Linked DNA regions of Arabidopsis thaliana. The protein of the gene in region 2 purifies or fractionates together with the protein of the main gene of each other region. This does not show direct contact. Each region holds a gene or a part of one and is shown on either strand. Other genes may lie near its edges.

Region 1 (6,897 bases), on a different chromosome or scaffold from region 2:
AAGATCATTTTCTTCTGTGTCCGACTCCAAATTGCCAACATAGCACGTGAATTCAACATTTGTGGAAGCCATTTTGAAAGAGTAAGAGAGTTCAAAAACAAGTAGTGATTTCTAAGTAGAAAACATAGCAATTTTATGAGTGACATAAAATGAGAGACACTTTAGTCAATTTATAGAAAAAGGTTAGCGGTAAATGCATGTGATGATATCGATAAATGCTATTAACTCTAATATGGTTTGAAACAAGTGTATTTTTTTCTTGGAACTAGTTTACACTAAATGATGATACTTTTATAGTGGAAGGCGAAAAGTTTATGTTTTTTGGTCATGGTCGTGTATAGTTTGTTTAGATGATAATTAGAAAAACAGTCAAAACAAAACTCAAATTTTCGATCCAAAGATTATTGAATTTTGGGTTTTAATTGGAAAAGAAAAAACACAATAAATTAAAGATCGTTAACTTTGACTTTGATGAGTCTACAACATCTTAAAGTTCAAAAAATACAATAAGGTTTAAACTAGTGATTTTTTTTGGGAACTAGTTTTCACTAAATAATGATACTACTTTATAGGTTTAAGGTTTCAGTTTTCTTTGGTCATGGTCCATGTAGATTGAGTTGTTTACATGATAATTAAAAAACAGTCAAAATAAAACTCAAAATTTCGTAATTCGAGTTTATTGAATTCAGGGATTTTTGGGTTTCAATTGGGAATGAAGACACATAATAACTTGTATATATAAGTTTCACTTTGACTTTTATGAGTTTACGACTCAAAGAATGTCATTTAGGGGTTTTATTTGACAAATTAGGCAAATTTGAGATTTTTACTTTTTCTTATTCCCATGGTTACTTCTAGAGTTCTAGTCACCATAGTGATTAAAAGAAGGAAACTAAGCATGAGAAAATACTAGAGAGCTGAAAAATAAACAAAGGGTTCTTCTTGAAGCTGATTCGATAATCCAAAAGTAAAAAAAGTATTTGAAGTTAAGGTCTCATTATTGCTTTTGAGACGTTGGCATTGCCAGAGATACTGAAGTTGGAATATCTTTCCACTGTTGTGTAACAGTTTTGATCTGAGTGAAAAAGTCCACTCCTGCTTTGCCTGCAAAAATAGTTCACTCAAAGTATATATATAAGCAAAGAGAAAGGAGAATGGATCTTCTTTTGTTTAGTTGTGACAAGAATTTTACCATAGAAGTTAAGATCTCCTGCGAATGAGGCCTTGTTCCCGGTGAAGGAAAAGAACGGTAATGGAACCGGGATTGGAACATTAATACCGATCTGGGCAAACATTAACAACAACAAAAGAAGATATCAAACATGTAATCAAATGCATACAAGTAATGTTGTATTTTATAGGGCCCAAAGTTCTTCATACCTGTCCTGCTTCTATGTCCATCTGGAACTTTCTTGCTGCTGCCCCGGACGACGTGAAAATCGCAGCACCGTTCCCATACCTGTTGACGGCGTAAGTAGCAAATTGTTGAAGATGATGAGACGATTAAATTTTAGTATTAAGATGATGATAGAACAGGGTGTTTTACTTGTTTTTATTTATTATAGATATGGCCTCATCAAAACTGTTTGCCTGTAAATGAATATGTCACAAAAGCATCAGAGGGCATTAATCTCACAATTCACGAATAAATGAATGATATAAGACTAGTTTTCCAATCTGACCTGCATGCACACAAGAACAGGGCCAAATATTTCCTCCTGCGAAGAAAAATGAATTTTTAAGATTCAAGTAGAGTACGGATCATTTGCCTTAATGTCAGAAAATACCTTGTAACACTCCATGTCTGGGGTAACACCAGATAGAATGGTAGGACCGATAAAATTCCCTTTCTCATATCCTGGAACCTGTTTGTTATAAGAGAAAACATATAAACTTCTCGGACCAGTTGATCTTTGCGTTGTTTTCAAGATTACACAAAGATTATTAAATCAAGATATTTCTGCGGTTCTTGATGATTACTATTTGATAAGAATGTGGAGGGTAGTGCTATATTTAAGGCATGAGTCTGTTGCAATAGCAGTAAATATGGAGAATGGGAAAATACCACAATATCTCTTCCGTCAAGCAGCAATTTAGCACCATCATCTACACCAGACTGAATCAACCGGCATATCCGTTCTTTCGCCTAGTCATATCAAAATTTAACAATAACGTATACATATTGAACAACAGACAGAATGCAAAACTAAACATAATTTTTACACATGTAAGTTCAGAGGTTTGTGCGCGAAAATACCTGTTTACTAATCACAGGACCCAGGTCTGCATCTGGTTCTGACCCACATGTGACTTTAAGGGCCTTAGCTCGCTCAACGAGTTTATCCTCCCTGGTTAGTATTAGACAAGTTAAAGCTAATCTTTCATGACTGTCAAATGAAAATCAACAGGCCTCATACATATTCTTCAGTTACATTTAGTATTAGGACACAACAATAGTCAATCTAAATTAAAGAAAATGGTGTTATCTTAACTATCCTATATATGGCTTAAGCACCCTAAAGGCGTGGTTCTGGAAACCGTACGAGAGAAAAAGATTACAGGAAAATGTGTTTATCACAAGAAATATAAGATATTCGAGAAACTGGAGTAATTTGAATATATAAAGTAAGCAGTACCATGATTTTGCATCGCCAACAAAAACCACTGTACTCAGTGCCATGCATCTCTGTCCAGCGGCACCAAACCCAGCAGCAAGTAGCGCATTTAAAGTTGCATCGATGTTGGCATCAGGCAAGACAAGTCCATGATTTTTCGCCCCCATATTTGACTGAGTCAATATATTATAAGCAATTTGACATAGTGTCGTTTCGAAATAGCAAGGAAGACTTTTAAATGGGAAAAGATGCAAGACTTTACCTGAATACGTTTTCCTTTTGCTGCTGCTCTTGCGTATATATGCATTCCAGCCTTTAAACAAAACAATGCATTAATACGCAAGTTTAACGAAAAGGTTGAGCTCAGAAGAAAAGCAATTCTGCCATTACCAGTCCATATTGACAGATTTTGAAGATCTAAGGTATGATTTTGTATACAATTAACGTTTTATTAGACAGCTGAAATAATTACACAGGACACTGACTAAATGAATATTTGTAAATAACTCGGTCAAATGCAAAGCCAAGTCTGCAGGCTATAAAAGAGCAACATAAAAAAAAAAGTACTTACCGTGTTGGAGCCAACAAAAGAAACAGCCCTTATATCTTCATCATCACAGATAGCATTCACAGTATCCTGTGCAACAGATGCATTTTCAGTGACAACAAAGAAAGTGAAGGTAATAGTGCGGAATCTTTACAAACTAGGTTACTCTAATTGCAAACTAGAATATTCACCATAATATCTCTCGACGGGATCCTTACTTTAACAATTCAAATGCTAACAAATAAGAAATTTAGAAAGAGCAGAAAGTTTAAACATAACCTACATTGGTTCCGTGAACGATATTGAGAACCCCATCAGGTAAACCAGCTTCCATTGCCAACTCGGCAAGTATTACAGAAGCACCTGGAGAAAGCAAGTAATATCAATAATCAACCAATCAATAGAAGGGACCTCTATAGCTATAGTGGAAAACAGTCAATCAACAATACATTTCGCTCATCACATTGGCGGTGGTAGTAAAATGCATGTTCACTACACTGGCATCAACGATATGTTACAACATGATCTGAAAGTCAAGACATCTTGAACTTCCCATACATCAATTAAACACCACAGAAGTGTCTATTAGTAACTGGAATAGTTCGAAGGAATAAGGGTATTTTACCGGGATCCTTCTCTGATGGCTTCAGAATAAAGGTATTACCACATGTCACTGCAACAGGAAACATCTGCACTAACAAACACATAATAAATACGCAGAATTCACATAAGAGAATCACAAAGAATTAACGATATACATAATGAAGCCATATAAAAAAGGGCTTAGCATGTTACCCATAAAGGAATCATGGCTGGAAAGTTAAAAGGACAAATGCCAGCACAAACACCTAATGGCTCTCTAATACTATATGTATCAACTCCGTTCGACACATTGGGGAGATATTCACCCATCTGTAAGGTTGCCATTCCACACGCATGCTCCACAACCTCTGCGTAAGAAACCATGTACCAAAAATAAGCACTAAGGTTCTCCTCTTCTTGTCAATCATATAATCAAACCTACAATACATAAATAAAATACTAACCTAACCCACGGAAGATATCACCATGTGAATCCTTTAAAGTCTTCCCTTGCTCGGTTGTGATGTTCATAGCAAGTTTATCCTACAGAAAAATCAAAACTTTCAGCCAAGCACATATCAAGATCATAGCAAACTAAACCAGGTAGCTACCATATTCTTGCGTATAAGCTCTTGAAACTTTAGCATAACACGCTGCCGGGTAGTAATCGGCGTGTTTCTCCACAACGGAAACGCTTGCTTCGCAGCGGATACCGCAGCTTTAAACTCTTCATTAGTAGTCAATGGAACTTTAGATACAACCTCTTGTGTAGCCTAATAATAGCAAATCAGAATTTACTTCAAAGTTCAAACCTTTAAGTAATCAAACAAGAGTATAGGACTCATAAGAGAGTTTGCTTACAGGGTTTATAACATCGATAAACGAAGATGATTGAGACTCAACAAAAGAACCTCCAATAAGATTTGGTACTCTCTGAAAACAGAACCCACATCGAAAAATCAAAACTTTTGAATAAAAATCACATCGAAATCGATCTAAGAACTCACCGGAGGCATTTGTGGTTGAGTAGATTGCTCCGGCGAAGTTGATAACCAAGAGCTTCGAAGAGCGAGAAATTGTGGTCTCAAAGGTCTCAGATTGTTACCTGAAAACAGTAACAAAAACTAGCTTCGATAGTATCGAAGTCTGCAGATTTTGATTCGAGTACAAGAGAATCGAGATTTTTACCAGAAATTCGAAGCAGCATCGTTGTTGTTGTTGTTGTTGTTGATGATGATGATCGGAGTTTGGTGTTGTCGTCTGCTTCTTTGTATAAGCGTCTCCTTTTGGTTTTGGATTTGAGTGATGAGTGAATGCTGACTCGATGTTGATCGGGTGCGAATGAAGTGGTTGGATTTCGCCACGTGGGTGGATATGTACCGTTAGATCTATAAGATTCAAGATTCTTTTGTTTGACTCTCACCATCACCAAGATATATGTACATGGTTGACAAAAAAAAAAAAGATATTTAGCCTTAACAATTTTAAAACTAAAAGCAAGTCCAAGAGCTTTTTATGGGGCTCTTCCAAATCTTTTAATTATAAATTTTATCAAATTCAAATTTAAGAGTTTTGGATAGATTGTTAAATTTTTTTTGTCTAATGAAAAAAGTGGGCTTTTAAAAAAAAATTATTATTAAAATAAAAATTATAAATATTTTATTTTATAAAACTGAATAGTTATTGCAAATACACCAATTTTAAAGATACATGACATAAAAGCATATATAAAATACGAAAATCGAAAATCAGAATAACGATTAATTGTTAGCTTAATTCCCGCCAAATGTTTGTTATATATGCTTAACCAAATTAGCTTTCAATTGTGGATGTATAGCCAGATCACGAACTCGGGCTCGAGCGGCCATAATATTGCCGAGATTTGAAAGCATATCTGTAAAATAGTTGAAATCCATTTGTAAAGAGCTGGTTGATTTTGGTTGTGTGAATTCAGCTGCATCAAACTGAATGTACTTATCTTGTTCATCCTCTACTATCATATTGGGAAGTATTATGCATGCTCGCATGATCATTCCTATTTTTTTCTTATCCCAAATAAGAGCTGGATTGACAATTACAAACCAAGTTTGCAAAACTCCCAAAGCACGTTAACCATTTTGACAACAAGCTTCTTAATTTGTAACAAATAAAGAATCTTTGTGACCTTGTGGAATTGAAATAGATTGGATAAATGTAGCCCATTTAGGATAAATTCTATCAGTGAGATAATAAACCAAATGATAGTAGGTCCAGTTGACGATATATTTCACTTTTGGAGCTCGACCTTGTAATTTATCATCAAAAACTGGTAAGCAATCAAGTATATATATCATTTAAGAAATCTGGAGGTCCAAAAAAAGTATGTCATATCCAAAGATCTTGGAAAGCAATAGCCTTTAACACTATTGCCGGTTTGCCAGATACACGTGTATATTATCCTTTCCAAAAGGTGGGGCAATTCTTCCACTTCCAGTGCATACAATCGATGCTTCCTATCATCCCAAAAAATTCATGTACCTCTCCAATACGGAGTAGTCGTTTAAGATCTTGTCGTGTAGGTCTACTTAGATACTCTTTCCCAAACAAATATATAATTCATTCAACAAAATGTATCATACATGATATCGAAGTGCTTTCACAATCTGTAGGTATTCGTCAACCGCATCCACTGAACAACCATATGCAATCATATGAATTGTTGTTGTACACTTCGTAGTGCCGATAAACCTAACCTGCCGATAACATCTCTTCTTTGTTCAAAGCATGAAATTTCATTGGAGAGTCCGTCAACAATACGTATAAACAATGGCTTGTTCATTCTAAATCGGTGTCACAATATATGAGGAGGGAATGTCGCATCTTCTTTGAAATAATCGTTCTACAACTGGATGTGTCCTAGTTCACGATCTCTTGCAATATATGCTCATTTTTGTTGACTTGGTTGGTTGACGATCAACATATCTCTATAATGTTTCATTGAAAAATTGATCAAACTTATCGTCAAGATTATAAGATGAAGAAGATCTCATGTTTGATGAACTATGAAGATAAATGTTTGGAGAAAAAGAAGATTGTTTGGTGAAAAGGAAGATTGTTTTGGAGAAAAGAAATATTTTTTTGGAGAAAAGGAAGATTGTTTTAGAGAATAATAGA
Region 2 (4,887 bases):
AACTATGTGAAGCACCATTATGAAACCCAAGGACAAGCAGAACCTGCAAAGCAAGGATCATTCCACGTGGGTTTTCCTGAGCCTGAAGCTGAACGTTGTGTGATAGCCAAAACCATAGAATCGGAGCTGCACAAGTTTGAGAACCGCAACGGTCTGGCCGTGTCCATTGATGACAGAAAATCCAGTCATGAAACACTGGCAAATGGTGACCTCTGAATGCTTCTGAGGGAATTCCTTCAGTGCCTCCACAACTGAGATATATATTTTACAGGTGAGCTAGCAATTCAAATGAGTAAGGGAGTACTGAGCTGTGTCCGCTCCCTAGCCATGCAAATGTAAAGCGAAAAGAAGAGAATAAATCTTGAACTGAATGCACTTCTGGTTTTATGTATAGTATTATTTGATCCTCTAATGTAGCAAATTTATTTGTGGGAAATCTACCTCTCATTTCCCTAAGCATCTGTGTTTTTGGTGTTTGATCTGCTCTTTGGCTGAACAACAACAGTTTAGGAAACAGCTATTGCACACTTGTCTTGGGAAATCTACCGCTCATTTTCTAACACACTTTTATTGCATCTCTCTCAAGTACAAAGTTACAGTCTTGTGACACACACATGAACCATATACATAAGCTTTGCGTTATAAAACAACAGCTCTTAGCTTCAGAGTGCCGAATATCCGATTGTCTTCTCCGACCTGTCAACAAGTTGAAGTTAAAAGTATTGTGTTGGAAGCATTAATTGACATGTAATCTCTTGCTTGTGCTAAGGCTACGCTTACCAGAGTTAAAGAGGGGGCTTACATGAACTCAAGGACAAGTGCTGATGCTCCTCCTCCTCCGTTGCATATTGATGCCACTCCATACTTTCCCTTCTTTGCTCTCAACACCTGAATCAGAAGTATTCAACCACATTTTCAGTGTGGATTAATTTCAACACTATTGTCGCTTGATCTTACGACTTACCCCCAATAATGTGACCAAGATACGAGCACCGCTACAGCCCAATGGATGTCCCAGTGAAACAGCCCCTCCATGCGCATTGAGCCGTTCCTGTTTATGTATACATACATAATCAGAGACTGAAAATTAAGATCTGCTACATCCACAACTGTACTTGTTTCATGACTTACAGGATCTAATCCCAGTAGTTTCTGATTGGCTAGAGCTACCACCTGTAGGGAAACAAGCCAGAACAGTCAAGACCTCTTTATACATACCGAACAACTATAGAACACTGAGAGCTCAGCATGTGCGATTACAGAAAATGCTTCGTTTATTTCATAATAATCCACTTGAGATGCATCCAAACCAGCCCGCTTTATAGCTTTAGGAATAGCAAGAGCTGGCGTGGTTGTGAATAACTCTGGTGCCTGAGCAGCATCAGCGTATCCTCTAATCTTAGCGATAACATGCAGTCCAAGCTCAAGAGCCTTCTCTCCACTCACTAGCACTAACGCTGCCGCACCATCACTGTCCACCAACGTAAACCAGAGCCAATAAGTGGCTGTTGGAAGTAAACAAGACAAAATGCATGCAGAGTTACAAATGAAGAAACAAAATTGAGAGATAAAAGATGACCTTATGCTTGATGCATTTCCAGCAGTGACTGATCCCCCATCCTCCTTGAAACTTGGTCTAAGCTTTTTTAACTTGGCTGCATCAAACTGGTTCATGCCAAACAAAGTTAAGATCAATCAAGGCTATCCCAAGAGAAGCAGTGGTTCCTAAACTATTTACCTTCCCCAATCCTTCATCCTTGTCAATAACAACTGAAGGCCTCCCTCTTCCAGTGGAAACTTCGACCTATCAATATGAGTTTATGAACAATATTCCATTACAATGCCATAAAGTGAATTCCTGGAATGCAAGGAAAGGAGAGGTGTACCGGAACAATTTCCCAAGCGAACAACTGAGTGTTTTGCGCAGCAATACCACGCTCAAAGCTCTGGATAGCATAAGCATCCTACAAAGAGAAAAATTTTGTACGTCAAGGAATAGAGAATCAGCGAGACAGTCTCATCATCACATCAGTCATGAGTCCATGGGAACAAACTGGAAAGACAGATCAAGTTTGAACATGAGTGACCTGTTCTTCTCTTGTAATACGGTACTGGTCAGCGCATATTTCTCCACAAACTCCCATTCCAAAGTCATTATAGACATCCCAAAGTCCATCTTTCATCATACCATCAACAACAGTATCATGACCTAATCGAGAACCCCTTCTGCTAACAGAAATCAGAGTAAAGAATAAACGAGATGATAAAAACAGATGGAATATGCCTCTCTTGGGTTTGTTTCTACAAGTTTGAGTTAGGAAACTCAAAAAGCACCTTGCGTCCGGGAGGTACTTAGGTACGTTTGACATGCTCTCCATCCCACCAGCAACAACAATATCATTCAAGCCGAGCTGGATACTTTGAGACGCTAGCATTACAGCTGAGGTTACAAGTGAAGTAAAAGCAGTGATATATACACCGTTCGAATGATCATCTGGAGTAGAAGAAGAGTAATAAAAGGTTATTACATTTCATTCCTGCAGCACAAACTTTGTTGATAGTGGTGCAGATCACAGAATAGGGAATCCCAGCACCAAGTGCAGCCTGTCTTGCTGGTGCTTGCCCAAGATTGGCAGTTAAGACATTGCCAAAGAAGACCTCTTCCACAAGGGCCGGATCAACATGTGCTCTCTTAAGTGCGGCTATGAGAAGAAACAGTAAGAGAATGAAAACTTGGCCGAAGCAGAGAGAGAGACAGAGAGTAGTCGTATAACTAAACTACCTTGGATGGCTATGGACCCAAGTCTTGTAGCAGTCAAAGACGAGAGGGAGCCAAGGAAGTCCCCTATAGGCGTTCGCGCCACTCCCACAACACAAACATCTGCACACACCGGAACTGAACTGTAAGTAGCCATTACTGCTGGATCAAAGGATAAATACATGATCCAACCAGAAAACAGTAGAAACTGAAACAGAACAAAAAGAAGAAGGAGAAACAGAAAGAACCTCGAGGCTGTAGGGAATCATCAGAGACAGGCGGAGCCATGGAAGTCACCGAAGAAATTATGTCTGAGCCAATTCAGAAAATGCAGAGATGATGAGAATCAAAAGAAATATCACAAGTTTGAGTTCTTGGCTAAGAAAACGCATCACCTTTGGTTTGGTGGCAGATGAGGACGATCAAGCTTGTGTTAAGATTACGAGGAAACGAGAAAGAGAGAGATCATAATTGAGCCAAAAAGAAAAAGGTGGATATAGAGATAACAACAAAGTGTGTGTGTGACGTAAGATACCAATATCAGTGTCGGTTCCACCACCACCTTGGTATGCGTGATAGCTTTGTTGCCAGATAATTTCTTCCAGGTGTTTTATTATTAAGAAGGTAGAGAGTTATGAGAATCTGCCATTGATGGTAGTTTACCTGGAGTTTCCATCAAAATGTACACACAAGAAGAAAAATAAGGAAGAGCTAAGTGATGAGAGCAGAACAATGTATCTCAAAGATTCCTAATAAATTGGTGAGTAGTCACAAAGGCACACTTGGAAACAAGACAAGACCATACTGATGTTGCAATTATACTAGTCACAAACGGGTCTCGTGTTACAAACTAACATAAAATACCCTATTGCTACTTGTTTGTTCCAGGAGGATCAATCAACTTTATCTTCAACTCAATCTCACCCGATTCAACAGCACACAGCCTCAGCCACACACTCTGCACCACCTCTCCGTCTATGCAACTGATTGTGCTCTCTCGAGATACGCAGTTCTCTGGATCCGGTAATACTTTCCTAAGCGTTGTCTCACCAGAGGACACGCGGACTACGTGTCTTAGTCTGGCAACTGAGATAAGCGGTTGAAGGCTGAGAGAGGCATGGCCCATCTTGTCATCTGCCTTGAACCTATCTTTATCAAACACTTCCTGCACCACCCCATTAACAATCTCAGCATCATGATCATGATGGTCACAAAAGGAAAGATTCATGAAGATGTAGACATACCAATGCGAGAACTGCTGCAGGATCTTTCAGAGTAAAGTTCAGTTCCTCATTCCACACTGGATTCAGGCAATTGTTGATCACTTTGGTCTTCGCTGACTGGTTTTCAAAACAGTAAAACATCACATCAACAGACAAATAAACACAACGAGATACTTGTTTCCTTGGTAGAAACACAAACACTGGTTCTAGTTGCCAAGAACAATGAAAAACACTGACCAAACATACCTCATTTCCTAATTTGACAATCACATAAGGATCACTTGACTTGAAATCTCGGATCACCAGTTTCTTTCCTTGAATAACAGTCACCTGGAGCAGTCCTAGTGGCTCGCCCATCTCAGATTCTACAAACACATGCTACCAACTTTAGAAACTTCTTGAGACAATCCTCGTGAATAACAGAGCTAAAGCAACTGTCTTTATTAGACAATCAGTTGAATATGACAACCAAGACACAGAGAAAGAGAAGGAAGTACTAGTCATTCAACATTCAACATTCAATCTCTAGGAAGCTAGGATATATCTAAACAACTACGCCAAGCCCAAAATTTTCTGAGAGCTTCTTGATATAGAAAACGAAATTCTGGGAAAGATTCACACTTATATCAGTAAATAATAAAACCACACAGAGAGACCAAATGCTGCCAATCTACAGAAACATCTATCTAGCGAGTAAGGTAGAGAAAGAAACAAAAATCGCAAGCAGACCTTGATCAAGAGACAAACCAAGAAACACAGAGGACTCTGCAAATCAAAAAAGGCTCAAACTTTGTGGGTTGAACCCAGAAGCTACTCGAGTCTACAACAAGACCAATAGAAAACCTTGAAACCCTAAAGAATGAGTAAAGTAGCGAAGAACGGTACGAACTGAAAAGGAAGTTTCAG

The links. The genes of interacting proteins can lie anywhere in the genome.
Region 1: the proteins of AACT1 (region 2) and ALDH6B2 fractionate together in Arabidopsis thaliana (co-fractionation; one large-scale study listed by BioGRID). This does not show direct contact.

What each region holds. Positions count from the first base shown.
Region 1 is NC_003071.7:5,976,730-5,983,626, forward strand, and holds ALDH6B2 (aldehyde dehydrogenase 6B2), read right to left. Parts: upstream 5,171-6,897; coding exon 4,933-5,170; intron 4,888-4,932; exon of another isoform or gene 4,850-4,887; coding exon 4,752-4,849; intron 4,678-4,751; coding exon 4,606-4,677; intron 4,518-4,605; coding exon 4,356-4,517; intron 4,288-4,355; coding exon 4,209-4,287; intron 4,113-4,208; coding exon 3,958-4,112; intron 3,852-3,957; coding exon 3,788-3,851; intron 3,526-3,787; coding exon 3,446-3,525; intron 3,253-3,445; coding exon 3,187-3,252; intron 2,929-3,186; coding exon 2,878-2,928; intron 2,789-2,877; coding exon 2,637-2,788; intron 2,349-2,636; coding exon 2,258-2,348; intron 2,147-2,257; coding exon 2,066-2,146; intron 1,866-2,065; coding exon 1,788-1,865; intron 1,719-1,787; coding exon 1,683-1,718; intron 1,591-1,682; coding exon 1,547-1,590; intron 1,460-1,546; coding exon 1,381-1,459; intron 1,284-1,380; coding exon 1,193-1,283; coding exon of another isoform or gene 1,122-1,192; exon of another isoform or gene 1,105-1,121; coding exon 998-1,104; and 2 more. Other genes in the region: AT2G14160 (RNA-binding (RRM/RBD/RNP motifs) family protein), read right to left, coding at 1-72.
Region 2 is NC_003076.8:19,329,921-19,334,807, reverse strand, and holds AACT1 (Thiolase family protein), read right to left. Parts: upstream 3,262-4,887; 5' UTR 3,154-3,261; exon of another isoform or gene 3,070-3,153; 5' UTR 3,047-3,069; coding exon 3,007-3,046; exon of another isoform or gene 2,943-3,006; coding exon of another isoform or gene 2,882-2,942; coding exon 2,783-2,881; intron 2,703-2,782; coding exon 2,529-2,702; intron 2,441-2,528; coding exon 2,335-2,440; intron 2,227-2,334; coding exon 2,088-2,226; intron 1,965-2,087; coding exon 1,887-1,964; intron 1,805-1,886; coding exon 1,739-1,804; intron 1,666-1,738; coding exon 1,580-1,665; intron 1,472-1,579; coding exon 1,261-1,471; intron 1,174-1,260; coding exon 1,132-1,173; intron 1,052-1,131; coding exon 965-1,051; intron 889-964; coding exon 803-888; coding exon of another isoform or gene 799-802; exon of another isoform or gene 781-798; intron 697-780; coding exon 663-696; 3' UTR 531-662; downstream 1-530. Other genes in the region: AT5G47730 (Sec14p-like phosphatidylinositol transfer family protein), read left to right, coding at 1-216; AT5G47710 (Calcium-dependent lipid-binding (CaLB domain) family protein), read right to left, coding at 3,630-3,923, 4,003-4,098, 4,228-4,338. UniProt on the Arabidopsis thaliana protein: Catalyzes the condensation of two molecules of acetyl-CoA to produce acetoacetyl-CoA.